2 linked regions of the Styela clava genome follow. The protein of the gene in region 1 purifies or fractionates together with the protein of each later gene. This does not show direct contact. Links are inferred from orthologs where the notes say so. Each region holds a gene or a part of one and is shown on either strand. Other genes may lie near its edges.

Evidence for each region.
Region 2: the proteins of centrosomal protein of 135 kDa-like (region 1) and WD repeat-containing protein WRAP73-like purify together in Homo sapiens (co-immunoprecipitation; 6 studies listed by BioGRID and IntAct, counting the BioPlex papers as one, with this or other methods). This does not show direct contact. The link is inferred for Styela clava from reciprocal best matches to the Homo sapiens genes CEP135 and WRAP73.

The regions. Positions count from the first base shown.
Region 1 is NC_135258.1:9,381,348-9,397,241, forward strand, and holds centrosomal protein of 135 kDa-like, read right to left. Parts: upstream 7,257-15,894; 5' UTR 7,094-7,256; intron 5,630-7,093; 5' UTR 5,620-5,629; coding exon 2,110-5,619; 3' UTR 510-2,109; downstream 1-509. Other genes in the region: zinc finger MYND domain-containing protein 10-like, read right to left, coding at 329-435; F-box/WD repeat-containing protein 2-like, read left to right, coding at 10,227-12,101; A-kinase anchor protein 14-like, read right to left, coding at 12,595-12,679, 12,757-12,809, 13,423-13,602, 14,066-14,185, 14,667-14,786; dynein regulatory complex protein 12-like, read right to left, coding at 15,150-15,749. UniProt on the Homo sapiens protein: Centrosomal microtubule-binding protein involved in centriole biogenesis. Acts as a scaffolding protein during early centriole biogenesis.
Region 2 is NC_135264.1:16,445,830-16,461,392, reverse strand, and holds WD repeat-containing protein WRAP73-like, read right to left. Parts: upstream 7,954-15,563; 5' UTR 7,952-7,953; coding exon 6,608-7,951; 3' UTR 5,634-6,607; downstream 1-5,633. Other genes in the region: ADP-ribosylation factor-like protein 2, read right to left, coding at 8,919-9,473; repressor of RNA polymerase III transcription MAF1 homolog, read left to right, coding at 14,490-15,245.

The sequences.
Region 1 (15,894 bases):
TCCAGAAGTATGCGCACCAAGGTGTCGTACAACCTGAATCCTAACCGGTACACACGTACTATGTTCAGGTTGTGCGCCATCTTGGTGCGCATACTTCTGGAGGTCCCCTTCAAGAGTCAGAAATCAAAAAAACTTCTAATTATTGTAATCATAGTCAAAAACACTGTCTTGTGGTTGGAAACTGTCAACCAGGAGTCGATTTTAAATGGGTTGTCGAACATAAAATTCCCCCTATACTACAACCCTGGATTAAATAAACCTACTCATTCATCTATTATTTCTATAAAAGCCAGATTTTTCAGGATTCGTAGAGTATATTACACAATACCTTGGTCCACCCAGTTCCTTTATTGGAAACAATTGGAATCCTTCAATCAATGCTTCAGCTTCCACTGACAGTAGAACATAAGAAGACTCCCCAGATCCGTCTGTCATTTTTTCTTTATATTGCTCGATTAATGCATCGATAATGTAATGTTATTCTATATTTGTAATGAATTATTACTAAATCTACAAAGGAACATAAATACTATTTTATGAAAGATGTAAAAAAAGTTGAGAAACAAAATAGGAACGCACTAGAAAAACACACACAAAAATCTAGCGAATAAATTGAAATGCATTAATAATTCAATCACTAAAAATGAAAAGACATTATGGTTTAGCGGTTGCATTTGTCTGTATATATCAGACAAACTATGCCACAGGAATGATATTCAGGATTGAAGACAAAATTGTCATCAAATCCAAACAGGCACTAAAAAACGAGCTATTTTATGAATTTCAAATTTGTTATGTGAGACATATTCTATGAAATTCTACTATAATAAATACAATGCCTTCTTAATTCATCTTATTCGCAAATGTTTATTTGGGGATGCAAACTATAATGGGCATCATGTTTTACTTAAGCCGTTTATTAATATGAAAGTTTGCTAACCTTGTGAAAATCCAACTAGATTTAGGAACACCATTGTAAATGGAAGATCCATATGAACAGTGGATAAAAACACAAAAAGAATGCTCGAAAACAAAAACACCTACGAAAACATAAACACAGTTGATCAGGTACAAAAATGACCTAAATATCAGCTTCAATTCCATAGCAAATCCAAGTATTTAAATGACACATAACTGTTTTACTTTGCATAAGAAAAATGCAGCATGTTTCTCATATGCATCATAATGACATAAACATTGGATTTGAGATTTAGTTCAATATGCTATGTTTCACATAATCTAGAAAAGTGATTCCCAAATCGCAGCCCGCAGGCCAATTAAAGCACAGGTAATGATTTAATATAGACACCAAAATCCTGCTTGAGTGGAATAGTTTACCGCGCTTACCGTGCTTTTTTTTCTTTTTGTGTTCAAGATATACCACCAGTTGTTACGTCATTACCAAAGTTCAAGCACATGTATTTTCGTAACAATTCAGTTCGGTATCTTAATTATACATATTGGCACCGGTAAAAGGCCCTTGCGGAGTCTCCCCTCTACCTGCCCGCAAATATCATTCAGATTCTAATTTTGGTCAATTAACTCTGGGAACCACCGATCTTGATAAATCCCTGTCTAATAATACCCATTCAAGAGCAGGGAAGATAAATTCACACAAAAGGTGTAAATAAATTTGAATCTATATCTATCTAAAAAGGTTTTCATTAACCAAAAACCTGAAAGACAATTCTTTTTTATAAGAAAAACAAACATGCTGACTTTATGTAAAAGAAGTATCTATGAATAATATAGAACAGTTATTTTGACTGGTACACCATAGAATACCAGAAAATGTCTGCACCCCTGATTAAACTATTTTCATATTCTGGACTAGTATTCTAATGATGCTTTTCTTTGGCCAGAATTGTATCATAATGTCTTAAATTTTTACTCCTATCTATAGATACAAAAAATTGAAAATCTAAAATTGAATAGCAGATACTACAATTAAAAAGATTTTGGTCCCGAAATTTGTGTAATAAAAAGTATAGAAAATTGTGAAAAACACTGTTGGCACGAGAAGCAAGACATTGAGATAGATATTGGAACATAGCAGCAAATGACAAATGCAATCGGAAAACGAGCTATTTTGAAACTTGGAAAGTATAGTTACTTCGTGTCCAAAAACGATGCCCGAGCAGGACTTGCGGACCGGGGTCTTTGACTCGGTGATGGTCGATCTGACCTTGATGTAATGGGTGATGGTAAGTTATGCTTTCGTAACTCTTGAACTGCCCTTTCCCTCTCGTACCTTTCATTTGTAAGTTGTCTTTTTGTGATTTCTAAATCTGCGTCAAGTTGTGATACTTTTGCTCTAAGTGTGTTTACTTCTCGTCCTTGATGTGTAAGTTTGCCTTCTGCGAGAGATAGTTGATCTTTAAGGTTTTGATAACTGCCGTTTAACTCTTGCATAGAAGTTTGTGAACGATATTCTTTCTCGCGAGAAGAAGCGATTAACGATTCTAAATTCTTACGTTCCATACGATCGCTCTCGATTTGTTCTTGTAAGATTTCAACTTCTCGAGTTAATTCATCGTGTCGGACTTTAAGTTGTTCGTACTCAACATTCTTCGATGCGAGTTGTCGGACAAATTGTTCCTTGCCGATATCAAGTTTTGCATTAAGGTCTCGGGCGGAAGATAAATCTACAGCAATGAGAGAACGTTCTTCGTTTGAACGGTGAATCTCGTTTTCAAGACGCTGTATATTTGATGTAAGTTCTGCAATATTATTTTCATAAATTTGTTGAGAATGTAGATGTTCCAAAACCTCTTGCTCCAGACATCTATTCTTATCTCCGAGGCGAACTTTTTCATTTTCAGCCGTCATGAGTTCTAACTTCAGCGCTTGTGTTTCGTCTGCCAAGAGTCTGTACTTACTTTCAGTTGTATCTCGTTCCACCGAGACTTTTCGATATTGCTCGAGTAAATCTAGCATTTCCCTATCTTTGGAAGCAATATTGCCTTCAGAATTTGCGACTCGTGAAATGAATTCTTTAATTTTGACACGACCTTCCTCTCTTTCTCTTAACACATTGTCTAATTCGATATTTAAATCTTGATTTTCTCTTGTCAAGGTTGCGAGGTCATCTTGGAGTCGGCTGTTTTCTCTGACGGCAACATCCCTACCTCGTAATGCTTCTGCTAATTCCGTTTGTGTTGTGTCTAGTTGTCTACGCAAACTTCTTAATTCTCGATCAGAACTTGAAATATCTTCTGTGGCCCGATCCAACTGCTTTTCAATATTGCTAATTGTAACTCTTTGATCCATAATTTGGCTTTCTCTTTTTGCGATTTGATCTTCAAGCAAAGCTATTTTTTCTGTTTTTTCATCTAAAGTTGCTTGTAAACCATCCTTTTCTCTATCGAGGATAGTGACTGTGGTGCGGAGACCAGTGGCATCATCTGTTTGTCTCGTAGAAGTATCGAGAAGCTCCGCAATTCTGTTTTCAAGTACTCTGACTCTATCTTCTAAAACCTCGTGCTCTTTCATTTTTTTGGATAATTTTTGCTTTGTGTTTTCTAGTGATGCATCAAGTTGCATTCTACAAGTTTGGGAATCCTCAAATCTTTCTTGTGCGTCTTGTCTTTCTGCTTCTAGTTCATGTAGTTTTGCTCGAAGAGCTTTGAGATCCTCTTCTTGAGCAATGTTAGATTCCATTGTCGACTGCAATCTTGACTTAAGTTCGATTCTTTCTCCTTCTAATGCTTCGATTTTATCAGCTAGATCCGATAATCTTTGCTCTAACCTTGTTATATTAGTAGATGACTGATTTTTTTGAATATTGATATGTTCTCGTAAGCTGTCACGTTCGGTTGTCATTCTACGGAGATCAGAAACCGCATTGTCTCTTTCAGTTTCAACGCGCCGTAAAATCGCTTGTGCTGTCAATGATGCTTTAGCAGATCTCGGAGATCGTACCGCTTCTCTTCTTAGTCTTTGCAGCTCATCATGCGTTTGTTCATATAATAAATTTGTCTTGTCACGTTCCTGTGTTAAAATTTTCACATTCGCTTGAATTTCAGACATGTGTCTTTCGAACTTATCTAACATAGCTTGTAATTCATCTCTTTCTCGAATTACTTTTTCATATTGTTTAAATTGTTCCGAAGCGCTTTTATCCATAATTTTATTCTTTGGACTTCTTGATGTCGATCTTAATATATCAGAATCTTTTTGTTTTTCTCGTTTCTGTAACATCGAATTGAGTAAATCACATTCGTTTTTATAATAATCACGTTCATGCTCCAACGTTTTTATGAACGCATCTAATCTACTTTCCCCTCTATCCTTCCTGTGTACCCCGATGCCAGATAATTGCTGATCTTCTAATTCCATGACAAGTTCTCGTTCCTTGTCCATGAGATTTTTAACTTGTTTGCTAAGAAGATCTTTATCGGTTTTAACTTTGTTTAATAATTCGTTCAAACCATCAATTTCTTGTTCTTGTGATTGTAATCTTAAATGAAGATCCTCATTTTCAGTGATTAACTTTTCTCGAGATTCCTCGGCATTTACAAGTTGCGATTCCAAGTCATTTTCTTGTCTTTGTGAGCGTCTTAATTCCTGTTGCGCTTCATGAATTTCCAAATCTGCAGCTGAAACTGCTTTCCTTTTATCGTTTTCCAGTTGATTAGCAAGATGATCGATTTCTTTAATTTCCAGTTTTAACCTCTCCACCTCATCAGCGTAACGTCTCTCACTCATCTGACATTCCTCATGTTGAGCTTCATCTTCTTTTAAACGAATCTCGAGTTCTTCGTTAGTTTGTTGTAAATACTCAACTTGTAGATTCAAATGAGAGATCAATCGTTCATTTGCGCTATTTTTTGCTTCTAACGACAAAACATCATGTGGTCTGCCGCCTTCGAGACACCGATTTAAGCGTTCTATTTCTCTATCTCGCATTTCAACTTGACCTCGTAATGTGCTTATCTTCGACTCACAAACATAATTCGATTCCGATAAGAGTTTTAATTCAACAGCTAATTGATCAATTTTCGTGTCGGCAACTTGCAATAGATCAGCGATATATGGGTCATCGGGTTGAGTCGATATATACGAAGCAGAAAATGATGGCGGAAGTGTACCATCAACTTGCATATGTTGCCTTCGGAAAGGAATGTTGCGTTTTCTGCCTCCCGGTGTCTGAATTACAGCCTGTAAATTCTTTTCCTGCAGTTTTTGAATACTTTCTGTTTTCGAAGCCGTTTCGCTTTCCAGGACACGAACTTTATGAACAAACTGATTATTCAAAAAACGTAAATCTGAATTTTCGTGATCAAGTTTGATGATTTTAGATTTTAATTCCTTCGAAGTTGCATCGATTTCTTCTTTCAATCTAACACATTGTAAATGAAGACTGTTATTCTCTTGTACAAGACGAGCGTTGTCCTTGCTATATGGTTCCAAAATATCATCAATATTTGGATTAGCTGTTGGTGCAGCTGCTTTATGCAAATTAACTTTTGCCTTCTTCAATGAATCTGTCGTGTGCAACAAATCCGAGAACAATTGATTTACCAGCGGCATAGAATCGATACCAAAGGCATGACGATAACCCAGTTGATCCAACTGCTTTCGCAGGGTCACAAACTTTTGTTCTGTAACTTTGTTCATCGTGAATCATCTGCAAGGAAACAATTCATGGATTAATCAACCTCTTAAATAGATTACTATCAACAACATTCAACGCTGGCTCATGATTTTTTATGCTAGTGCGCTCAAAGTGGTTTGCAGACTTTTCTAAACACAAAACTGATCGAGTTATGATTCTGTTTTACATTCACCTTGGAAGTTATTGAAAAACAATAATATATAAATACACAAATATTTATAGTGTTATTTACAGATATTTATTCACCATAGTAGCAACATATATCGCTAACTGCTGCACCGTAACAACGGTTATTTACTAACTATGCTCGGCTTGCAATCACTGTCATAATTGATGTATTTTAATGTGGGGCTTCTCTCTTGGAATCGGAGAACTGTGACGTACTGGATTTTGAATATATCTTTATTCAAATATTGTTCGTTTGAAATAGAAAATGGCATCCAATAAAACAATAGTTATTCAAGTACAACAGAAATGCATACAAACTCCTATTTTAAATATTCATCTGATTTACTGTGTCATGATTTTTACAGATAGGTATGCAAACGACTCAAATCTGCATTTTATTTGCGACCACTATACAGATTTTGGGTCTGGTATAGTTTAGTACCACATTCACTTCTAGTTAGCCTGGCTCAACAATTTTTGCATATGTCAATCCTAACCCTTACCTGACTACGTCACCAAAAAATTACGTCATCTCGACGTCGCAGTGGCGTAATAAGGCCCACCAAAGTATGTGGATGGTCGTCCAAATCGCGCAGACGATCACCCGAAATCGAGCAAGCTATTTCTCTCGTTTCCTTGTCACAACGATCACGATAGGAGAGAGATCGCCGGCTTTAGCGAGTTCGTTATCGGAGGAGCAGATGCCATTTCGGGCGATCGTAATTATAATTTGGCAAGCCCTATGACGTGATGGTGACGTCGTAGTGACGTAATTTTTGGATGGCATAGTCAGGTGGTGGTTAGGAATAAAATATGCAAAATTCGTTATGCTACGCCCAATGAAAGTACTTGTGGTACTAAACTATACTAGACCCCAGATTTTATGTAGTCTAAAATCAAGGCATGTCTTTTGCAGTTTTGTCAATAACATCTTTCAACAGTCTGACAGTTTGGCACAGTTCTCCATTCCGAGATGTCCCATCATTCAGACATCAGGTTCAATAAAACAAGCACTCCCTTGTCTCTCAAAAAAGGGCATAAACTTCCTGGGCAACTCAAAAACACAGGTGTAATAAATATTTATATTATAAACAGTGAGGACAGAAGTAAAACTGTTCTATCTAGGTATCATTCAGACAAATGCTGAATTGCCAGTTTAATCAATCAATCAATCAATTTTATTTCGGTCGCTCTGGTATAAAACAAAACAATAAACGAACAAACACAAAATTAATTTAGTTTAATTAGGCTAACACGTTGCAGGCAGCCTTAAGTATTCTACAAAAAATAATTATTTCAATAGCTCACTTGATCATCCTTCGTTAGTAATAATTTATTCCATATCCGATTCTTTAATGAGCCTAACAATGAAATACAACCAACGGCAATAATCCGCGAGCGAATCGTCAAAATCGACGAGGGACGGCACCGCAAAGTAAACAACACAGCATACGGTAAGTTTCGAAAAACAGAGGGAAACGGTTGACTGTAATTTTTCAATTCAATAGCGCCATCTAGCGTCTCACAACTTCTCAGATAAGATCGGACATAAAACATCGTTACCCTATGTTCTCTATTATCGTTTCACAGCTCTGTTGTATGTATACCAGTATACGATATTCTTTGACTATTTAATAATCCACATTGTGGAGCTCGTCAAAATGAAATATATTACAGGTACCGGTTTTGATACGTTATTGATAGTAGTTTATTCCTAGGTAAGTGATGCGAATTTCGAAAATATATCTCTTCCATACGGCAGTACGGTAAGCAAGTACCTTCACGCCCGCCGACTGGCGGCAGCAGTAAAACTGTAAAAGTCGGGGTAATGTTTTTTCAGTTCGGTAATATGCTTGGGGTACTATATTTCTGTATTTGTTTATTGCTGATCAATTTAGGCCATATCCATTTCTAAGGAGAGTTCTACTCGTGTTGACCAGCCAGTCTAGTATAGTTCAGTAGTTTAGTATCACTGTACAGCTGTAGGCTACCATGATTCTGTAATTACTTCCAGTTGGCATAGCATAACGAATTTTGCATATGTCTGTATGTTATTCCTGACCCCCACCTGACTATGCCATAAGATCGCCGTGGACCGAATAGTAATGTTTTTATTTAGACGTATGAAGAAGCAACTGCGAGTTACGTTTGACTCATAAAATTAATATATAAAGATATTTCAGAATCTCGTAGTTGTCATGGATTGAATATTTTACGTGACAAGATGATCATTATACGCTGAAAGGAACGAGCGCGGAATCGCGGTGGCTGTTACAGGAGGCAATGGGAATTTCCGATTTCGAAAATCGTGAAATCCTTGAAAACTTATTGCTAATTTCAGACATAACAATATGATACACATAATAACAATATAGTTCACATAAATTAATATACAAATATACTGGTAGGTAGTAGAATACTCTAGACCAGGGCTTCCCAAACTTTTGAGCTCGCGGCCCCTTTTGATATATTAAAGTTTTTCGCGGCCCTTGTTCACGCTAATAATGCTAAAAAGTTCAAAATATGCTTTTTAATATTTTATTGACACAGCCAATTCTTAACTTTTAATAGGGCTACTCAATAACAAAAACATCTTTACTCAAATTATTCAATGTAATGGTGCAAATCTTTCTTGCTCAACTCTGCCTAGTTTTTCTTCAAAATGCTCAAAACTCACTCATGTTCGATGAGATTCTCATGTTCTGAAAGTTCGGTTTTCTGTAGATAAAGATTATTTCTACTTGGTTCAAAAAGCGTTGCGCACCACATCTCCTTTGCGATTTCGTATTTATATTAAGCAGGCTTTTCTACCATGGCCCATTGAATTCGATTTCACTGACTGTTGTTAGATTTTGTTTGTTCGTTTATATTAAACTCAATGCAAAAAAGGTATTATATTATATTAAAAGATATTATATTGAAATGTATCAATACGTACGGTATTTTTCACGGGAAGTCGCAACTTGAGCATATTTCTGGAGGTCGTCACAATACAATTAAGTTCGAAAACTACTGAGTCCTATAGTTGAAAGAAATCTACTTTTTAAATTGTTGATAACCTATATGTAGCCGCTATTTTTAATGGAAACGTGCTATTAAATTTGTATCATATTCCGGTATTCATATTTCGTATATTAATCTCGTTATTCTCAACATCCCCCTAAAATGAGCTCCAGTGTTCAAAAGAAAATTGATGACAATTATTATCGGGAAAACACGGTGTGATGATGTATATTCACTCGGAATCGTGAATTTATCGTTTTACACTATTTTTAATGATTGTATTTCAAATTAGGAGTCTGAAAAAGTGCAATAGATATAGTACTTTGTGTAAAATTGGTGTTCTCTTCGCGACCCCTTCCAGGGCCGCGGCCCCTAGTTTGGGAAGCCCTGCTCTAGACATAATGGATATTCGAATGTTGTTCCTTGCTTCAGTTGCCTGTATTGCCAATGAATTTTATTACTCTCAGAAAATATACACACTTATCTGAATACAAGTAGTGTTTTTGTCAATAGACTTGACTATTATCGTAAAATCATGGTACCATTGATAGAAAGCGTCAGACAACTCCTTGGCTATCTTTTCTTATGGTCATTTGTACTAAGTGTACAACTGACTGTGTCACAAGTTGCTATTATTTTCATTGATAGCTATAAACTATCAATTAATTTGTGTACATATACTGTTGGTTTGTGGCTTTATTCTGATATTTCTATTGAAGCTTATTTCCTATTTTACTGGGTTTTAATGGACTAAAACTAAAAAAAATATGTTATTTTCGATTTTAGAATGTATTCGGAAATGGCCATCCCTGCTCAAACCTCAAATAAGTTAGACATTTATGGACCTCAGGGGCTTGGAGTCAAAGTTTTTAATATATTGATATTATATGATTATATTGATATGATTCTTTCCACAGCAAGTATTTTTTTGGTCCTTTGAACATTTTAGGAATTATTTCGTACATATCCCACTTACCGTAATATGCATATAACTGTTTTTTTCAAGTTTTATATCTATTCTATTGATAGATATATTTATTAAATATATGTTTTTTTTATAATCAGTATATAATTTTATTGAAAGACTAATTAATTCGTTCTTGGGGTTTCGTGCTGCAATGGCAATATCACATTCTTCTATTCATTCTAAAATGAGTAATGCTTATTGGCACCAAAAAATTTTCTTCCAGATAATGCCATTGAATTCCAATTGTCTAGGCTCATATACTTAACAACAAACAACATGCTTTAAATTACTTGATTATGCAATAATATTCCTTGCAACAATATAACCCATTCGTTACACACTGTGTGAGGCTACGACATATGTCTGGCCCATGCCAGAACCATTTTTAATATTTTAGACCTGTGTTGTCATCAAAGCCTGGGCAATATGCTATTTATTTAATCTTACTTCTGATACTATTTTTTAGCAAATATGGCAGAAAAAATAAAATTTTCTAAGATGAATCACTGGTTGTCCAAAGTTGTAGCAGACTTTCAAGAATTGTCAACTGAAGATAAAATTACAGCATTGGATGGGATTATAGATGCATGTGAAGCACCCGAACTGAAATATCTTTCAGATCGTCTGGAAATATTTTTGAAGCGGGACTTTGTTCGATTTCTTCCAACAGAAATATGTATTTATCTTCTGAGCTGGCTAGATCCCATTTCATTAGGACGATGCTGCCTAGTCAGTAAAACTTGGAATGAAGCTGTTTCTGCGTGTCAGCCAGCATGGTTAAAAGCATGCAAGACTATCGGGTGGAAAGTGGATGATTCCATAATGTCTGGAGGTTATTGGAAAAAAACTTACCAGCGAGCTCTGATAAGACTACAGCAATTAAAAAGTGGTTCTGCTTTTAAGGTATTAACTTTACTTGGACATACGGCTCGTGTATATACTCTTCGATACAACGGAAATAATTTGATGGCGTCTGGTTCAGATGACCGAAGCGTGAGACTTTGGGATGTGGTAACCGGAGAATGTTTACAGATTATACAGACTCATACATGTGCAGATCTTGCATTTGATGAATATTTTGTGTACACTGCTTCTTTCGATAACACGATTGGATGTTGGGAGTGGAGTTCGGGAGACATGATTCGGAATTATAGAGGACATACTGGGGCTGTTTTTAGCGTCTCTTATGACAATGAAAGAGAGTTGCTTGTATCTGGATCGGCAGATAAAACAGTTCGTTTATGGCAACTTTCAACAGGTGAACAAATAAACATGTATCATGGACATAGAGAATGGGTAACAAAAGTCATTTTAAGAAAGAGTGAAGTTGATTCCCTTCACCATAAGCCTGGTGATTATGTTATCTTATCTATGGACAAGGTTGAGATAAGAATATGGCTGATAAGTGAGGAGGTCAACTGTCAAAGTTTATGTGAATTATCAGCTACTGATTGTAGTGATAAACTTTTATCAAATTCAATGCCATCTTATCCTACTACTCCTCTTAATACTGATGATAACAATGAACATTGCTTCCTTCATCCGCAACTTCTTTTTGATGGCACACGGATTATGTGCTCATCCGAGCGAGGAGTATTGGAATGGGATTTTAAAGACTATACTCTAACTCGAGTAACTCCTCATCAAAACGACCCATCTTTTCTACTTGGAGCGGGTAAAACTATGTTTTTTGCTGCAGACACTCGAGAAAACTGTTTGTTTATTAGAGTGCTTGATAGCACCACAGAATCGCAACATCCTAATTTGTTAAACCGTAAAAAACTAGTGTTAGAAAATAATCCCTCAGTTAGTCACCCAAGTCCTAGTCCGGAAACGGTCGACTATGAAGTCGAATCAGAGCCCTGTAAGGCTTGTTGCAGCAGTTCATTACCTGAACAATCATTAAAACTTCCAAAATTTTCGACGAAACTAAGCCTGGAAGTTACTGAAACCCCAAATACAGACGATTCTGCAAGACATCATGGTATACCTAATAGTAGTAGCACAGTTGAAGATGAATTAATTAACGATATCAATTATAACAGTATTAAATTACCAAAATCAAAGACTGACAGTCATATTCCTACTGTAATATCTAATAACATAACTCCCGACGATGGAGGCACTTTTCAACTCCAACAGAATGTTGGAACGGAAAGTCTTCCAGGCGTTTTGGGGCGGTGGAATTTACCTATGTGTCGTTGGTCAAAACGAGGTTCAAATTATGTTTGTGGAGATCAATCGTGGTTGAATGGTTTTAGTGATGCGAACCATTCCGGTTTAGTATTTGCAGCGGCGTTACCAGACCATTCTATATATTTATTACAATGGTCTGATTGTTCATAGTATTATTGTTGTTAAATAATCATAGCCTGAGAGAATTTAAAATAAATATATAAAATATATGTAATGTTCTATTTATTAAAAAAAGCATTGGATATTCAGATAAACAAAACTACTGCCATTTTAGTTTTCAATACAGTAACAGCACAATTTTGGGAATATTGGTGATTACTGAAAAAGGGGATAATTGTAATATATGGATTGAGCACAGAAAAAGAGTACGAGTAGATTGTTAGAAGCGGATTATTCCCAGCAGTAGTCCAAACCCCTAATTTAGATTTGTCGATATTCCTTTATTCCTAGGCTAAATATTTCCACTGCATATTGAGACTAACTATAATATAGGTGCATCAGCGGCATGGCAATTAATGATAGGTAGCCTCCAAGTAAAGTGTTTTTTTTATTGGAAGTGACATCCGATTTTTGTACACTTTGTTGTTTAGAAAAATATAAAATATTATTGATATACAAAAATAGTTATGGTAGTTGATAATAGCTAAAATGTAACAGTTTCCATCATTAATATTTTGCTTTCAACAAGATTTTTCAACCAGATTTCACGAAATCTTGATTTTCCTGGCCTGAAAATATATATGATGTAAGGATAGAGATTTTGTGTAAAAATAAATACAACAACAGTCATTACAAAATCACTTACTTATGGACTAATCTGTTTCCTTCGAATATGTAAAATACTTCAACAGGCAAAGTCTGTAAAAATGAAGTTTATTATTGGTCGCTGACAATGACACTATATACATACAAATGCTCAGGGGAAATCAATATTTCAAGATACTTAATTCTTTATGACATCATGAAAATTTTTTCATAAAGTATTCTTTTAGCATCGGTTTCGCCAATGCGGTGTTTCTCTTTAATATATAACTATACTAGATTAATCAATTTTCAATTTTGATTACTTGAAGAAAATTATCTGACAGTGAAGAATTACTTGGAAAATTGCACACAATTATCATGGTCCATGTCCATTCATTCGTATTACTTTTTGCTTTCTCGTTTTAATAATGTGTTCTCATACCATATGATTGCGCCTGAATGTTTTTTTATATCGTTCTTTTTATCATCAGAGTTCAAAATGGAACATTCGAAGGCAATCAAACTGAGGACCTTAGCACTGAGATTTCACTAACTATTTTAAAACCATTTGACAAAATGAATGTCATAGTTCTGACCAAGTCTATGCTAGCTTATGGAGATAGTACAAAACATTTGCACTTGCACATATAGTAGTACCCTTCAAATGCCTCACTTTAGTTTATTCTACTAGACTTTAGAATTGTTGACAAAATTTTGAAGCGTTTACCTTAGGTTTAATCTTCGAAAGACTGATTGTAAAGTAGACACAGGCAGTTGCTCTAGGTATTGGTTTTCTTCTAGTTGGTATGCTCCATCTTACTCTATATTTATGTCGAATATCATAATCAAATTCTGTGTCACCCATATAATCGATACAGTATAACCATGCTGAATCTCGCTTCCAAGTCTGTTATAGTAAAATATATCTAATATGAATATATTGTATTATGAAAAATGTTTCATATAGGTAATCGGCGAAGAACTAGAATAACAAGTTAATATGCTGCAAGAGGATATCCGAACTCCTTGCTCTTGTAGAACCTGAAAACTATTTATAGTCTATAAAATTAAACAATTACCGTAACTTGTTAGCTATTACAGATCCAGCCTTAACTTATCACCAGTCAAAGATTGTACATATAGGTACTCCTAAAGTATGCACACCAAGATGTCTCACAACCTGAATCTAACCTGGTACACAACCTGAGTTCACGTTGTGCGCCATCTTGGTGTGCATACTTCAGGAGGACCTACATAATTGGCTTCAACATTTGAGAGCATAGTTTAGTGAAGTTCTCTATATAATACACATTTGCATACACATTACACATATATAAAATTTAGCACAAAGAGCAAAATTCAAGACATACAGCGATGAACTTCTCTATCTGACCCACTCCATTTTCTGGAGTGAAGTTTTCACAAGACGACCATTCTATGTTTGGAATTCCAAAGTCTTCTTTATCTTCAAATATTATTGGAAGGTTGGCCTGAAAATATATATATATATATACGGTCAGTGATGAGCTAGAAAAATCGTAACAACCGGAACGCACCAAATTCGTGAAAATGTAATATATATTTACAACACGGCGCTACCAGTAATTTTGTCTATCGTAAGATAGAGCCGAAGAACTACAATGAAATTATCTGAAATATGACTTTTTAAAATTGAAAGAATATTCATACTAATTCAATACAAATGTTCACAAGGGTCAAAGGTCGGCAAAACATTCATTATACATTACTGCTGTGCACTAATTATTTGCCAGCTGAAATGTAAAAATAATTATGATGCAACAAAACATCAATTAATAACTAAGTTTCCCGAGGAAACCAGACTTTTCGAACCATAATTTTATTTTAACAACAGGAACGCAATGAACTGTCCAACAACCGGAACGCCGTTGGTATATGAAGCTTCAAGGCCTATCCAAGCCAGATTTGACATATCATATAAAATATACATACCAAATTATGTCTAATTTCAACTGAAACATCATGAACAGCTTTTGCTATTACGTCGTCGACTATTTTGAATGCTTCCTCATCAAATTCAGCAGGATCTTCATCACTCCATCTTACAGGCATTTTTTAGTCACAACAACTATACAGTAGTATCCCTAAAACCTTTAAACCTATCAATATGGTACTATGAAATTAATGATAACAAGGTAAAAATAGTGAGACACAAATGAAAGTCGCACAATTCACAACACAGTGATGAAAATGATTTATGAAAACTACAGGATTACATTAAAATATACCTAGTTCTCCAGTAAGCTATTGAATATAATCATCAACAAATATGAGCAGGTAGTCTAATCCAATGATCAGATTTTAGAATTCATATAAGTTTTATTGTCTATCATTGAAGGCAAGCGGATTTAAAATGTTCTCCCGTATGACCTTGTAAGCAATTCTTTCAACAGAACAAATTATCTGAATTTATTATCAAATATCCAGAGGGTTCAGACCGAACTCTAGAAGAGTAATTTTAGTTTGTTCCTGTATTTTAATTCCTTCTTGATCCCATTTATCCTTAGCTTCATCAATTTTTCCAATAAGTGAATCAAGCGAAGCCGTAAGGACTCCTTCGTATGATATTTCCATTTCATCGATTCTTTTTTCCAATATTCTGATTGTTTCGTTTTTTTCCTGTTCCATTTCTTCTTTTTCTCGTTTCGTTGTTTCAAGCTCTTGTCTTGCATTCGCTACTTGTTGTCTTAGATGTTCTACTTCTGTGTTTAGTTCTCGCATTCTAATGTCCATATCCGTGTGCATCGTTTTATATTGTCGAGTCAACTCTGCACTGACATCTTTTTGTTCCAATTTCTGCTCCTCAAGATTTTCCTCCATTTCATGAAGACGATTCTTCCAATCTGATGCTTGGGCTTGTGATCTCCGAGCAATTTCATTTCGATGAGCGAGATGTTCTTTCAGAATTTCAATTTCTCTAACAGTCTTTTTAAATTTGTCTTCTTCTTTTGCTACATCCTTCTTTTTGCCCTTCTTTCCTTTCTTTCCCTTGCCCTTTTTCTTTTTTGGTGGCATTTTATTTATTTACTATAATAGAATTTGATAGTGCTTGAATAAATAAGAAGTAAAATAAAGCATAATGTATATCAGGGGTCGGGAACCCATGGCTCGCGAGCCATATATGGCTCTTTTGATGGCGGCATAAATATGGCTCCCAGAA
Region 2 (15,563 bases), on another chromosome or scaffold:
TTTAGGTAGAGGAATGTTAAATACTGTTAGGTATGAAGTATTTGATACTATAGAGCTCTTACAGCTATATCTATACAGGGTGTTAAAAAAGTAAACCAAAATTAACAGAAGTTAAGATAAAATGCTACTTTAAATATTTAACGACTAACGCCTTTTAACAGTATTGAATTACAATTGAAATTTCATTTCAACATTTCTGACGCTTTTTAACAGTTACTTTTTTAACGTTGCCACGGCGAAAAATTTCACCTTAATTTTGCGTTAATTTTTAACACCCTGTATATAAATATATAATATATAGAAAATTCAGTGCGTTCTACATGCAAGCCATACATAAATTGTAAAACATGAATTCTAACAAAAATAGGACAATTAGGGGTTGGGGGGGGGGGGGGGGTAGGGATAATCGGACAACACGTTTTGAAACATATTTGTTAATAATTTGTTTTCCGGAAATACTGCTTCTTTTTTCTTATAATACTTTTTGAAGTGTTTTGGTGTTTCATTAACTTTTTGTGCTCACTAACCTGAATCAGCGAGTTTTTAAGGTGTCGCTGCTTGAAGACCTTATGAGGTACCTTGCGACTCCTGTCACCCTATTGTGTTTGAAATGCTTTTTTCTTATGATACGTCTATTTTGTGCTGACGAATAAAATGATGATGATTGATTGCGTATAATCAATTCCTAATAAATTAATAAATTTCGGCCAACTCACCAAGAGTTATCCAATATCCGAGTTTGATACAATCTTCTTACTTGATTTTGTAGATGACGATTAAAATAATAGAATTTTACTATTTCCCCGTCATTGTTTATAGATCCATTTTTGTCAAATGTAATGTTATGTTCAATTAATTTAGCATGCCAAAAAAGAGAAATAACAAAATATAAAACGAGAATATCGGTCGGAGACCGAAGACTCATGGATCGGAGGTTAGGGGATCCCCCAGACCAGCGCTCTTACTTCATAGTGACACCGTGTGTCACATCACTAATTAATTAATAACTCGCTAATTATACGACATCATCGAAAATCAATGGGCTTCTGTTCCGAACTGTGATGAATGCACATGCAAAATTTGGTGCAGATTCAACCTCGCTTTCGTGAGATATCGCGTGTATCTAACAGACAAACAGACAAAAGATCGATAAGTAACAAACTAGTTGTCTATGCTAACAGTCCAATAACAAAGTGTATTATATGTAACTGGCCCATATGTATTTACCCACTACTGACCTATATGGCAGTGCTACAGTCTTCCCCACGCCATCCAATATTTCTAACCGTCCGAAATATAAGCGAAATTACTTCACGTGTTCATCGCAAGGTGTGGCGCAAACGCTTTCTCCGAATGATTAAATAATAATGACAAACATCACTTTTTTAAAACGTAGCATCAATTTTTACGCCCGCACGTTTTCGCTTAATTGGACACGCTGTTGGCTGACGCAAGGGTTAGTTACGATACGTAACGTAAGACGCTCTTTCTGATCTTTTGTACAAAGCCCCCGCCGTCAATTTCTTAACTACTTCTTCGAAAATAAAGAAGATAATGATATATATAATGATATATGATATTTATTTTGTATATTTGCGTTCCATGCACGTATTTTTAACGTTTTTTTTTTTTTATTGAAATATACTTTTGCCTTACTGTTTGTAGTTTATTGTTAGCTAAATATATTTGCGTTGCACTCCTCAAAATAAGACCTAATCCAATCCAGGGGTGGGCAACCTTTTTCGACTCGCGTGTCAAAATCGGCTAAATTTAACGACGAAATTCTTCGGCGTGCCGACCGAAATTGAAAACAATGCTTTGCTGCTTCCAAAGCAAAAGTACACAACAATAAACCTTTTAAACCTGTACAGACAGATTCACTATTCGGGAAAATATCAGTCTGACAATAAATTTGATTACTTTTCTTATATATTCTATACCAGTGAGACTTCTGCTGCTGCATTACCGCTGATATAAATTTTGGTTCCATTACATTTGAACCCACGTACATTTGAACCCATGACAATTGCACCAGTATGCTATTGCACCTATGGAATTTTTTTTGTTTCACGGATAGTTAAACCCATACTAACCCTAACCCATGGGTTTTAGCACCCGCATATAGATTGAACCCGTGGATATACGCATGGGTTCAAATGTACATGGGTTCAAATGTACGGTCACCATAAATTTTACATCGGGTTTATATTTTGTAACTTTCAAAGAAATACGGGAACTAATGGTTTCATTTTTTAGGTCACTCCTGTTACGAGACCTAATAAAGTTCATAACTGAGAAAAAAAAAAAAATTTAGATTGCCAAGGTCCTAAAAACACGAAAAAATTTTCCGGAGTGGCATCCTAATCAAGCAATAGTTCGTTTTCTGCATTTCTCTCTTGTATTCCCTTCCCTAATCGATAGGATGGAATTTACATATTTATCCCGGGGAGAGAAAAACCGATAAGACGACTTAACCCTATGGCGAACCACGGCTTCTCGCCCGGTTACCGTTCCATGTCGGGTATGGGATTAGTTACCGGTAGTTATTTGTTTTCTGAGGTGTGGTGACGCGAACCCACACAGAGTAATCAGAGGTGCGGTGATGAGCGTATTCCTAACGCTTAGCACAATGAGCCACATCGCCGCGCACAATCGCTTATATTTCATTCGAAATCAATTTATAACAGCAAGTTAGCAAGTAAGTCTAACCAACATGTCCTGTACAACTTCATAAATAAAGCAGAAATGAAGAAAAGGATGGCACAGACGAATTATATTACGCAAGGATGTAGCCGAATGAATTCTGCGCTCTTCTCGACAAAATTTTTCGAGAGCTCACTCATTTGTTACGTCATAATATATTTCTTTGTAGCCTTATGTCATGAAAGGACAAAACGAGTTTAAATAAATAATGGATTGTTAACAACGAATAATAAATGAACGTCCTAGTTTCATCAGATAATTCTTGAGTCGTGAAACTTTTTATCTGAAAAAGAATGATCTGGTTTCCGAGGCCTCGCTCGCGTGCCGAATAAATGGGTTCGCGTGCCAGGGGTTGCCCACTCCTGTCCTAGTCGATAGCAAGGTATCTCTCCTACACGTTTTAAATGATTGATAATCTATGTTTTGCAGTTATTTTGAATAAAAATGAGTTATTTATAAGTAAATGGATATCATGCAATTCTCTACTTTGTAATTATGGTTTTGATAAATGATAATATAAGATATCCCCCGAAAATAAGTCCTAGTGTTATTTTTCGAAAAAAAAATTGAAATAAGACCCAGTCTTATTTTCGAGGAAACACGGTAGTAGTATATATTTACGGTAGTACATCCAAAAAAGTAAGAAAGGTAATAGCCCTCTAGCGATTATTTCTGAAAATTTGAAATCTACATGACCGTCAAAATTGCCAAATTTCACTACCCCAATACGAATAACAACAAATTCCGTTCGAGTTATATTATCGCCCAATTAAATAATTAGTTTAATTATCATTTCTGCTTTGTTCAATTTCACCTCACTAGTCACTACGCTCACACCGCACATGTATAAAATAAACGGGGAAGTCCCTTCACCTATTTCAAGTCCTAACCTAAAGCAGGCTACGGGCTTTTACGTTCAACAATAACTTGAAAATGGCAAAGGTAAACCAGAAAAAGGTTAAAACAGCGAGTAAGAAAACTAGCAACAAAAATAATAAAGTTTTTCAAGTCAGCAAAATCGGGAAAAAGAACCAGACAGGAAAGACAAAACAGAAAATCGCCGATAAAAAGAAGCTCCAACGAACTCAAGAGCAGGTTGCCAAATCTGACATCGCATACGACGATATAAAACACAGAATGACGAACGTTAAAGTAAAAAAAGAGACGAAAAGTGACAAAAAACAAAAATCTAAATCACGAAAAAGTGAAGTTGATTTAGAAAGCACTTTAGACCAAATGAAAATGCTTTGTAGAACGAAAATTAACCAGCTAAATTGATGTGGGAAATCGGTGACGTGTGGCTTACCAGAATATTATTACCTGAGTTCAGAAGTGCCAATGCTGCCATGGCACGCTTCATTATTTCCCAGGGCATAATGAACTCTGATACAATTTTCGGGGGGGTGGGAAAGTTAATTACATGACTTAATCCAGTAATCATATGAAGAACCATGGACTGCCATCCATGGGGAGAGCACCCTCCAGTCATAACCAAAAAAAAGTGTTTATTTATTTGTATGTATGCCTTCATATTTACATCTGTTTTGGTTGAGAAATCTATCTATTAGTCACAGAGCCAAGTTGGGTATTAGTATACTTGATTAGTTACTCATTCCAGATGCATGGGCTTGCATACTTCACGGGAGCGAGAAAAACCAAAGACATGGCTAAATCTAAATTGTTTGGCGTCTACCACTGCCGTCTCCCACTAACCAGGCTGGGCATGAGGGTACTAGATCAGAGGTTTCCCCCCCGATCTATTTGGGGCAAATACCCCCACTAACACTCCCCTAACATTAACACACTCTCCCTAATTTCGAGGTATGACACCACTCTTCAATTCAATACTTTGATATAATTGTATTTGAATATCCAGAAAGTGGCATATAAACCAGTTCTGATGATCAGTCAAGTTACAGATAGTTTTATCATTAATATTGAAATATCTACCACCTCCTAAATTTGGATTTTGTTCCACTTTTAGATGAGTGGGCACACCTTTTGGTATCACCTTGTTTAAAATTTGAGCATTTTAAACTTTAATTTTCATTGTTTTACTTTCAACCATTTATATCTTCTTTTATAGTGATTATGGAATTGAATCCGCCACATTCAACATTAATTCGTATTATTAATATGGTGTTTATTGCTTTCCTGAATTGGCATTTTTGCATATTTTATACAAAACAGTTTGATGTTTTTAAATTTCTATCATTCTAAATAATATTCCTCACTAATTGTGAATTGACTAGAGAAGAATAATTATGTTCGGGGATTCCAAGGTGCCCAAGTCTGTTCTGGTTTCATGGAAAAGTAGAGCTCCACTTATTGTAATTTGAAGAACATGTTGATTTATAACAATTTGTTGTGAGAACTTTTCTTTTCGAGAGGTAATTTCTCTGCAACTTGAATTTTTTGTTTTGGTAACTGTATGATTTAATTTGTACCATTGATATTAGTACTTTTCCTGGGTTTCCAGTGCACATATCTTGTAGAATATAATTCTTCGAAATAAAATTAGATGCTTCTAGTAATTTCTGCTGTTGGTCCTAGAAAAAATATCAGTACGCTCATGTTATTTGCCCACCACTGATCCATTTGCCTTCTGTCAAGTATCGCCACGTTACTCATTTGACAAATATTCGTCTGTCTTTTTGTTCATACATACATTTTAAGTGTACCGATATGAAGGTAAATAATTTTGTTCACCTATTTTACATCAAGCTGTGTTAAGGGACCGAAACCTATGGGCAGGTGGTATATTCACTTGGCTAACACAGGTGGTCCCCGAACTCGTAATAGAACTAAAATAAGGAGAATAAAAGGTTGGGTTTTTATTTTTACATAAGGCAAAGGCACATTGGTTTTAAAGCATTACCAGTAATGGCAATAAAGCCAAAACTCTCAGTTAAAGAGAACTTAAGGCCCAACACTGTTTTCCTCAATGCTTTTAATTCAGGCTTTGTTTCCAAGTGTAATAGAACTACAATAAATACAAAAATAACAGTTTAATAAAGTACAAGGACAAATCTACAAAAACAAAGATCAGCAAACAAAATATTTTAAAACGTGATAACTCAAACATAAATGTTCCAACTGAAAGGTGACAATGCTGCCAGGCTGTAATCACTGAGATTGATATCTTTGACCACAGAGATCTGCTGTCAGAGAAGTACATTTTTCTGGCCATGTTCACAACACAACGTGGGTACTTCTAGTTGGCGTGGCACAACCATTTTTGCATATGTTGTTCCTAACCCCCACTTGACTACGCCATTCAAAAATGACATCACAGTATTGTAATAAGGTCTTCCAAATTATACTAACTGTCATCCAAGAATTGTAGACGATCACCCAAAATCGAGCAAGCTATTCCTCTCGCTTTTTCTTCCTAATGATCCCCATATGAAAAAGATCGCTGGTGTTAGTGTCATTTCGGACTGACGTGATTATGAGGTCGTAGTGACGTAATCTTTGAATGACAGACCAGGTGGGGGTTAGGAATAACAAATGCAAAAGTGGTTGTGCCACGCCAAATAGAAGTACTTAGGTCGTTTAGTGAACATGCGCTCATTTTTCTGAATCTATTTATGGAAGGACTTTAGTAAATATTTCCAAAGAACAAATTTCCCAAAAATTATTCATATCATATTTGGTAAAACACGTACAGTGGTGAGAAAAAGTTATTAAGTAACCAATAATGCATAAAAAAAAGATTACACAGCCGATTTATAAGCGAATTCTGCCCCATTTTCTTTAGTAAATATGATCCCATTATTCCAGTTTTTCTAGGAGAATTGCTTAAATCAATGCCACACACTTAGAAGTGAAGAAGTCTCATCTTTGAGCAAAGTTATGGGCAACTGCTGGAAAGCCAAGAGCTATGCAGACTCATAGTAATATGTTAACTCGTAGTTGCTTGCGACTCTAAATAGCACACGCACATTTGATCCTTACTTAAAAGCACTAACGAGCCGCCTTTTGGGTGCCAGACCATAGAATGGGTATGGAACGTTGCCCCCACAGGTACCTGGACTGAAACAGACCCAGATGGGGACCAAAGATATATTTTATCATTTCCTGTAGCCACTGCCAAACGACAAGTCTTTGGATCCCATTTTAACGACTTGATTTGCGAAGTTTGCTGTAAAACGACGTACAAACATAGTTTTTGCATGCTCCATATAAAGACGCAAGTTTTCATACTGTCATCCACAGTCGCCAGATATTTGTTATCAGGACTGAATTCCATCCAACCAGCCCCGATTTTGGGGTTTGGCTTATCTGGGTTTGGGGGCATGAAAGGGAGATCAATGGGGTGTTCGCAAAATTCGTATCTACTTTGTGTGCTGAATAACGACGGCATCATGTTCGAGCCTTCTTCTTCTTTCGTGGGAAGAGTCGGTCGCTGTTCGACTTCTTTATAAACTACGACATTTCCGCCTTGGATTGTCGAAGTGTGCGTAAACTCTGAAATTGATTTCCATGTTATATGATTCAATAGGCGAACTTTTTGATCGTAACTCCCTACAGCGAGAAACTGGCTTGTCGGGGACCACGACATTTTTTTAATTCCTAATGCCCATTCGTATGCTTTATAGGTTGCTAAGCAACGGCCATCCATCGTATAGATCAAAACTTTATACCAAAGCATGTTATCTGCGACGCAAAGAACACGGCCATCTGGTGACCACTCCAACGAAGCCATATCTTCTGTGTCAGACTCAAAAATTTTCACCATTTGCCACGAGTCGACTGCGAAAATGCTAACATAGTCTTTGCATTTTCGAGTTTCACCGAGAGCGAGGTATTTTCCATCCTTTGAGAAGCTTAAACAATCTTTTGAATTCTTTACATATCGTATATAAGATACAGACTTGTTCACAAGAGACCAAACTGTGATTCGTAGATTAAAACTTGCTGTCGTAAGGATATGACGTCCGTCAGGGCTCCACTGAGCTCTAATAAGACCTGCCGACCCCTCATCAACTTTGCAAGTCCAATCTGGCTGCTCAATAGACCACACTTGAACAATGCCACGTTTAAACATAGCGCAGAGCAGGAATGCAGAGTCAGATGACCAACCGATTTGTTGAATAACATCCATGCATGTATAAAGTCGCAAAATTTGCAGAGTTTCGACATCTCTTATGATTAGTTTGTAAGAGACACAAGTCGCAATGTATTTTCCATCAGGAGAAAACTTACATAAAAAATTAGATTGCTTGAATAGCTCTGAAAAATTCATTCTTACGGTAAATCTGAAAAATTATTACACATGAAATTTAGAGAAGTGCAAATCGAAGTCTATCACAGATTTAAATCATATAGGCCTACTATTTTCAATGAAGAACACGATATAGAAGTTCTAGAACAGTGGTTCCCAACCCTTTTTTGGATCGTGGCCCACTTCCGGGGGCTTTTAGCACTCATGGCGCCCATGTTTATCAATCCAGTGGTATATATAGTGTTATTTTGATTGGTAGATTCCAAATGCCAATATGTTCAAACACTATCAACCTTAACAAAGTGAAAACACCCAGCGAAAAAACCTTATCAAGCAATGAAACTAGGAAAGACGGGGAGTTTTCTTATAAAATGAAATGTCAAATTAGCTTTTCGCCTAGCATTGTGGCCCCATATGATGGGAACTGCTGTTCTGGAAGTTTGAATTTGGAGATTCAGGATAGTTGAGATGAAGAGTGATTTGATTGGTTATTCTTTATCACTCAAAACTAAAAGCCTTTTTGATCATACTGTGAGATTTCAAATGAAAAGTTGGACATTTTCCAGTTATCCCTCTCCCCACTAATATCAACAATTCTCCTATTTTTTAATTTTTTGCTTGATAATGCTGGAAATTTTAAAAATTTTGCCAAATAATGGTGAATGTTTCATAGACATTCCATAAACAAAATACTTTTATTAGTGAGTGTGGGCATTCATATATTAGTGGGAGGGGGTTATAAGTAGGGGGGGAATAACTGGAAATATCCAGGATAAACAATTTTTAAATTCTCAAATCTAGAGTTTGAGAAAATGACCTAATTTAATTTTGATTAGAATATTCAATATCATTGTATGTATGTATGTATCATTGCTACGATTGGAACAATATTTCTCAGTAATTAAATTTCTAAAAATCATAACTATCTTACATGACAGTGTTACAAATAATTCATGCACGAAAAACGGAATATTACAACAAAATAAATTCAATCAAGCGTGAATATTCTACTAGAAATGTCATCAACAACCCAGTTCACCCCTTCCAATAGATTTGCCCCGGTTACGGCACTGCATGGAAAAATAGACCAATGATGTGTTTTAATACTGTCCAATTCCAAAACTTCTTTGATCTCTTCTGAAGAGAGAGACCCTGGTAGGTCCTGTTTATTCGCAAAAACGAGCAAAGTTGCCCCCGCCAGTCTTTCTTCAACCAAAAGAAGCTGCAATTCTTTTATACAATCTTCCATTCTTCGTTTATCAGCGCTGTCCACCACCCAAACTAATCCATCTGTACTCTCGAAGTAGTTTCGCCAATAAGACCGTAAAGATTTCTGGCCTCCAACGTCCCAAATGTTCAGTTTGAATCCACGATGTTCGATAGTTTTGATGTTAAATCCAAGCGTCGGCGAAATTGTATCGATATCTTCGCCGTTAAATTTCTTTAAAATTGTTGTTTTACCCGCGTTATCAAGGCCTAACATCAAAATTCGCATCTCTTTTTCTTTTTGCTTCATTTTTTTCAAAATTGTGAGCAGACCCATGTTGATATTGTGGAATTTTTCGACTAAAAACCAACAAATTCGAGTCAAAGAAAGGAAATATCGCGAGCTCGCCAACGACAAAAACTATTTGAAGAGGAGTGACCTTTAGCCCCAAACTGTTCCGCGCTAATAATTTTTCAGTTCTATTCCAGGCGCCAGATTCACATAACGAAAAACACAAATAAATGAATGAATACAAATAAATACGCACATTAAAATTGACAGAGCATATTTCAAATACAGATTGTCTGAATTAATGTACCAGGTGGTAACACCAAACAAATCAATCATTTAAAGATGAGTAATCAATAATGAATTGGAACAAATCGATCAAAAAAAAACGATTTCCCAAACTCTCTGGGCCATTCCCGGTGCACAATCGCATTAAAAGGCGTGATGCCCCCTATAGATAGATCGTATTTCTTCTCCACGAGATAAAAATGATGTCCTATCTTAGTTCAGCGGTATGGCGCATCGTACTATGCGTTAGGATACGCTCACCACCGCACTTATGATTACCCTTCATTTGTTTGCAGGTTCCTGTGAGAGATAATTATTTGCGAAAGAGTTGCTGGAGGTCTAGTTGCCGTAGGGGGTTCACTTCATCAGAAATAACTGGTTAATTACTTCCATACCGACATCACCCGGTGCACAACATAGACTGGTAACCGGGCGAGAGGCCGTGGTTTGCTATATGTTTGAGACGTTTGTCGGCTTTCCTTTTACCCGGGATAAATATGTAAATCCTATTCTGAATTTTTATTACTGTTAGACCTATAATCAAGTATGATGCTGCTTGATATTCAGTATTTGTTTTACGCGCCCTTTTTCATCTTGGAATGCCTTTTTTACATTATTTTCTATATTCTGTTCGTAAAAAGTTTGTTCTAAGTATTATGATAAAATAAACTACCGATTAATACATACCGAGTCTATGTTTCTGAAATCAAACAACTGGCTAACTAATCCCGTACTCCACATGGACCGGTAACCGGCCGAAAAGTCGTGATATGCCATGTGATTAAGCCGTTTTATCGGCTTATTATTACTTAGACTAATTAGCACGATGGTCTTTTAAACTTAACTTCATGATTTCACAGCAGGGTTCAGCTTGGAAGGAGAGAGTTTAATCTATAAGCTATTTTATTTTTATGCAATATAACAGCGTGGTCCAAGGTTGCTAGATCGAAGGACCGCAGAAAATTTGAAGAAGGCCTAGCGGGCCGCAGTCGGGATACCCAAAAGTAATCAAAGTACTGCGAACTGCGAGTTTGGTTACTTTAAATTTAAAGAATGAGAGTTTACCGTTATTATCATTTTATTGTTATGTTGCATCGGTGTCGTTTTTCATTATTTATGTTAAGGAAGATATATTAAGCACAAACAAAACAATGTGTTGTTTCTTGCTTTTGGTTACTGCTTCAGATATGCGTTTGACTACTACTGGCCCACGTTGAAAATAGAGATGTGCTAGTACTAAAATAAGGCAAAAAATGTCTGAAGGATAACAGCCTATCGACACGCGATCGTACCGGTCACAGAACGTCATTTTCATATCGACACCGCCTTGACGTTCATAAATACAACCTTCGTTATTCTAACAAATATGATTCCCGACATCGAAATTAGGAAAAGGTTTGAAATCTCGGGATCTCAACTCGAGTCAGAATAGCTAAAAAGAACTCAATGTTCCTCCAATAAATACAAATATCTGCCAATGGGCCAGGGTTTGGACCACTCTGCAATATAACTTTTTTCCCGGTAATAGAAAAATATTTATGAAATTTAAATAAAATTGTGCGTGCGTGCCTTAATTAGTTTTGTTACTTTTGAGTGAACGTTTTGCATTTTATGATGACACTCTTTTTTTCTTTTTTGAATTCTACTTGGTATCGTTATGAAAAAAATCACTTTTCTCATTGATTACTGGATCATTTGCTTTGAAATTTTCAGTGAGTAAAGATTATATTTCCTCTGGTTCGTTCTGGTTAACGTGATAATATCTTTGAGCATAGCTTTTTTGTGAAAACAAGAAAATGACATTTTTGAATCTAAGTACGTGACCTTTCATTAATTAAATTGTAGGCTGCGTCGAGATTAATTCTGGTTTCTTCTAATATGATGTCATAGGTTTTTGTTTATCATTTTAGGCTGAGTCGTCGCTCGGAGTCTGCTGTCATTTTTTCCTGATACATTGCGCGCTTTTGTTTGTGAATTTAGTGATTCTAGTGCTTTTTAAACACTTCAAAATAAAACTAAAACTAATTAAATAAAGAATTTAGTTTTTAAATAAAATTCTGTAATAACTGGTCTGATGTAATTTACCTGTAGACTACGGTACCGGTACCAACACACACAGACACAAGCTGTCAAGGAAATTAATCCGGTCGACATACAACCGCGGAAATAGTCCACTCACCGTTTTTTTTGTCATCACAGACAGCGTTCAACACTATTTAAGCTTTACATTTATTAAACTTGCTGGATTACATACCTATTCTGATTGACTCCGGTTGACTGGTGGATATTGATATTATAATTTCCGAACAGCAGAACTGATTTATTTCTACACTTACAAAAATTTTGGAATTTAACGTTAATTGAGGGCACTTTCTGACTTCAACTGTTGAAAAGGTTTGTTACCGTACTTCAGTAGGCCTACTTATCTTTTCATTTTACTTTTCTCTAAACAGCTGAAGGTTGTTATCACATATTTTGAATATTCTGTTCTAGACTTCTGTACTTTGATTGTTTGTTAATATTTTGATATTTGTGTCCCTGGCTCAATTTTATAATTTTTCAATAATAATAAACATTCAAAATGTTTACTTATTTACTTACGCTAGGTCCTGTACCGTAAAACCGGCTAACTTCGAATGATTTTACTATATTTTGAACAATATCTCTGCCGCATGTTGTTCAATTGAAGCCAAATTTGGAATATAATACATTGTGGCTATTCTCGTCATGGTCAAATCGGTTTCACATCCACCAAAGCCTTTTTTCATTGAAATTATCGACTTTATTCGTCTATTCTAAAATTATCTAACTTCGGATGGCCGCTTTTCTCTTTGCGTCACCTCGCCGTGAGAGAGAAATGTCTGCGTGAGCAGTGACGCATGACAACGTCGCTGAGCAGACCTTACGCCGCCTCGACGCGTTATGCGTGATGCATACTGACGTTCGTACGTGACGCTACTCTTGCCTCGTCGCGAAGCTGATATGTCGTAAACAGACATATCTAATCATCATGATCCTATAGAAACTTCTAGAAGTTCCACGCTAACCTGTTTAACGTTCCATGCTCAAGATCTTATTATCCTCGGTCGATCGTAAAGAGACATATCTAATCATTATGGTCGTATAGAAACGTCTAGAAACTGGATGTTTATCAGCCTAACGTGTTACCAATTGCTATCTATCGGTGTCGGAGAAAGTATGCAAAAACAGAAATCGACAAATTTTATATGCATCAAGCGTATGTATACGCATTATTTTTAAATAAAGAACATATGACTGAGACGATAGTGATGTTTTTGTAGGATTTAGGGACAAGGCTCATGGATGTCCTCAAATTTTAAATTTCACAATACTGGGCGCCGCGAGGTCTGCGTTCAAATGTCGCGGCGAGTTACGCACGAGCTACGCAAAGTGACGTCGGCTATGAAAAGAGAGAAAGCGATTTGTGTCGTTGACGTCACGCTGTACGTAATCATCAAAACGTCGAAATTTTGATGCAATTTTTAAATCAAAATAATCGATTTCACTCGAATCTCGTACGACACCTCGTGATCACTGTATTTTTTTGTATACATTGTGTACGCTCTCTAGCGCTTGGCGGTAATTTGGCGAAAGTCGCGTCGGTAGAAGTCATGGTTTGAGTCGCTCAAAAAAAGGTGTCATTTTTTTGGTAAAATATGATTTTTTGAGTAAAAAAAAAAAAAATCGAGAGACTGGAGGGTAGGACAGATTCATATATGTAAGGCCTTACTATAGAAACCGACAGAAGCGCAATATGACGAAATTCAGTTGAGATATGAACGATTGAAAATTTCATCCGAAGTTAGAAGGCATCCGAAATTAGCCGGTTTTACGGTACTTCTGTAATTTCATTGTTTTGTTACCATCTGTGTCTTTGACTCAATTTTATAAGGGCAAAAGCAAAATTTGAAAATGTGTACCTATCTACTTAGGTTTAGGTATTTAGTACAATATTATATTGTTGGGGTAATTTAGTGCTTGCAATCTTCCATACAAAGGCTTCTACAGCAATTATAACAAAATTAGCAGAGAGAAACTTTGTTCACATTTATAGTGAACATTTTGACTTTTCCTCTGATGCATCATTGCGGTACGGCACACTATGCAGATTGAGCAACATTGTCCCGTTTCAGAGAAACCCATTTACTGATGATCAGACCCCCCCCCCTTTGGGGACGTTTGGACATGGTTGTCCCTCAATATCGGTAAAAATACAGTAAAATAAAGTTGCGCAAAAAACTACAAAAAAAAATTCAATCTAAAAACGTCATCATTAGATTTCTCTGGAAAAAATAATTCGATTTGGCCACATGACAGCCGCGTTTAATTTAGATTATTATCGAGACAAGCATGGTGCAATATGCCTCATCTTCTGTCATGCTAGATGCCCCTCGTTTGTAAGACGCCTGGAGTGTTTATATTATTGAACCAAACGACGGGACATTCCTGGAATTTGGATAGTGTGCCCTATTGCATTGAACGAATTCTTGTTATATTGCTTAAAATTACTTTCTTTTTAGGTTTTTTGAAGAAAAGAGGAATTTACAAAAACAAATAATGCATAAGGAGTGTTCCCAACAAAATTCCACTACAATATTTTCTTCGCTTCTTGCTATTATTTCGTCAATTTCGAGTAGACTTTCGTGTGAGAACATTTGTAGTTTATAAACAAGTTAAAGGTCATTGAAGGTTGAAAGGTCATCACTGTGAAAAACTTTTTGGTACCGAGAAAATTGCACTTACTAAACAGGAGACATGAAGTTGTTAGAGAACTCTAACTTGGATCGTTTGAATAGCGTACTTTTCACGAAAAACGATGATTGTCGAATTATCGGACGTATCGAGAGTTATTCATGCAAAATGGCTGGCGATGACAAGCGACTTTTTAAAGTATTTTCACACGATGCTCCGCCTACTGATCTTGCTGCGTTAGCACCACCTCAAACGATTTTATCAGCGAGTCCGAATGCCGGAAATTACAGTCGAAGTTTGAGTAGCGCCGATGAGAATGACAACCCACTCAGTCACGTTTGCAGTCGCAAAACGCTCTATTATCTCATATCTACTCTCAACGCGTCATTTCGACCTGATTACGACTTCAGCCACTCAAAAAGTGATGAATTCTCTCGAGAACCGAGCGTCACCTGGGTGCAAAGTTTCATCGACAATACTCTAGGTACAGTTCTCGGCGAACACTACCATCGCCTTCACAGCACTCTCTGGAACACGGTTGATGAGGAGATCGACCTAAAAGAATGCAATGTCTACTCATACAATCCAGATCTTGAATGCGATCCGTTTGGAGACGAAGGATGTTTATGGTCGTTCAATTTCTTTCTTTACAATCTCAAAAAGAAAAGAATCGTGTTTTTCACGTGCAAAGCGCAATCTGCATCTGCTGATGATGACTCCGGCCTCGGAAGGGATAATCTTGACATGAGTGATGAGGAAATGGAGTATTTCCTCGGAATAGAAGAAGAAGAAAACTCGATGCCTATCGTCGTTGAGTGATTTTGATCGATATTAATCGTACTTTCGAATTGAAGTACGACATACGAATATTGTAAATATTCTTTCTGATTGCTCAATGCATGGTGTAGACCAAATTTAATAATTGATTATATGCTATATCAATAATACTACTTGAATCAATATATAATCAATTGATCTGTAAATTAACTGGAATTGATCTAGGCGAAATTTCAAACAGCCAATATTGTGGATTCTAATGTGTTTTTTCAAAAAATTGAAAAAGTATCGACCAATCTTGAAGCAATATAGCAATACTTGCTTATAACTGAATATATCAGACAGATTCTTACTGGGCAT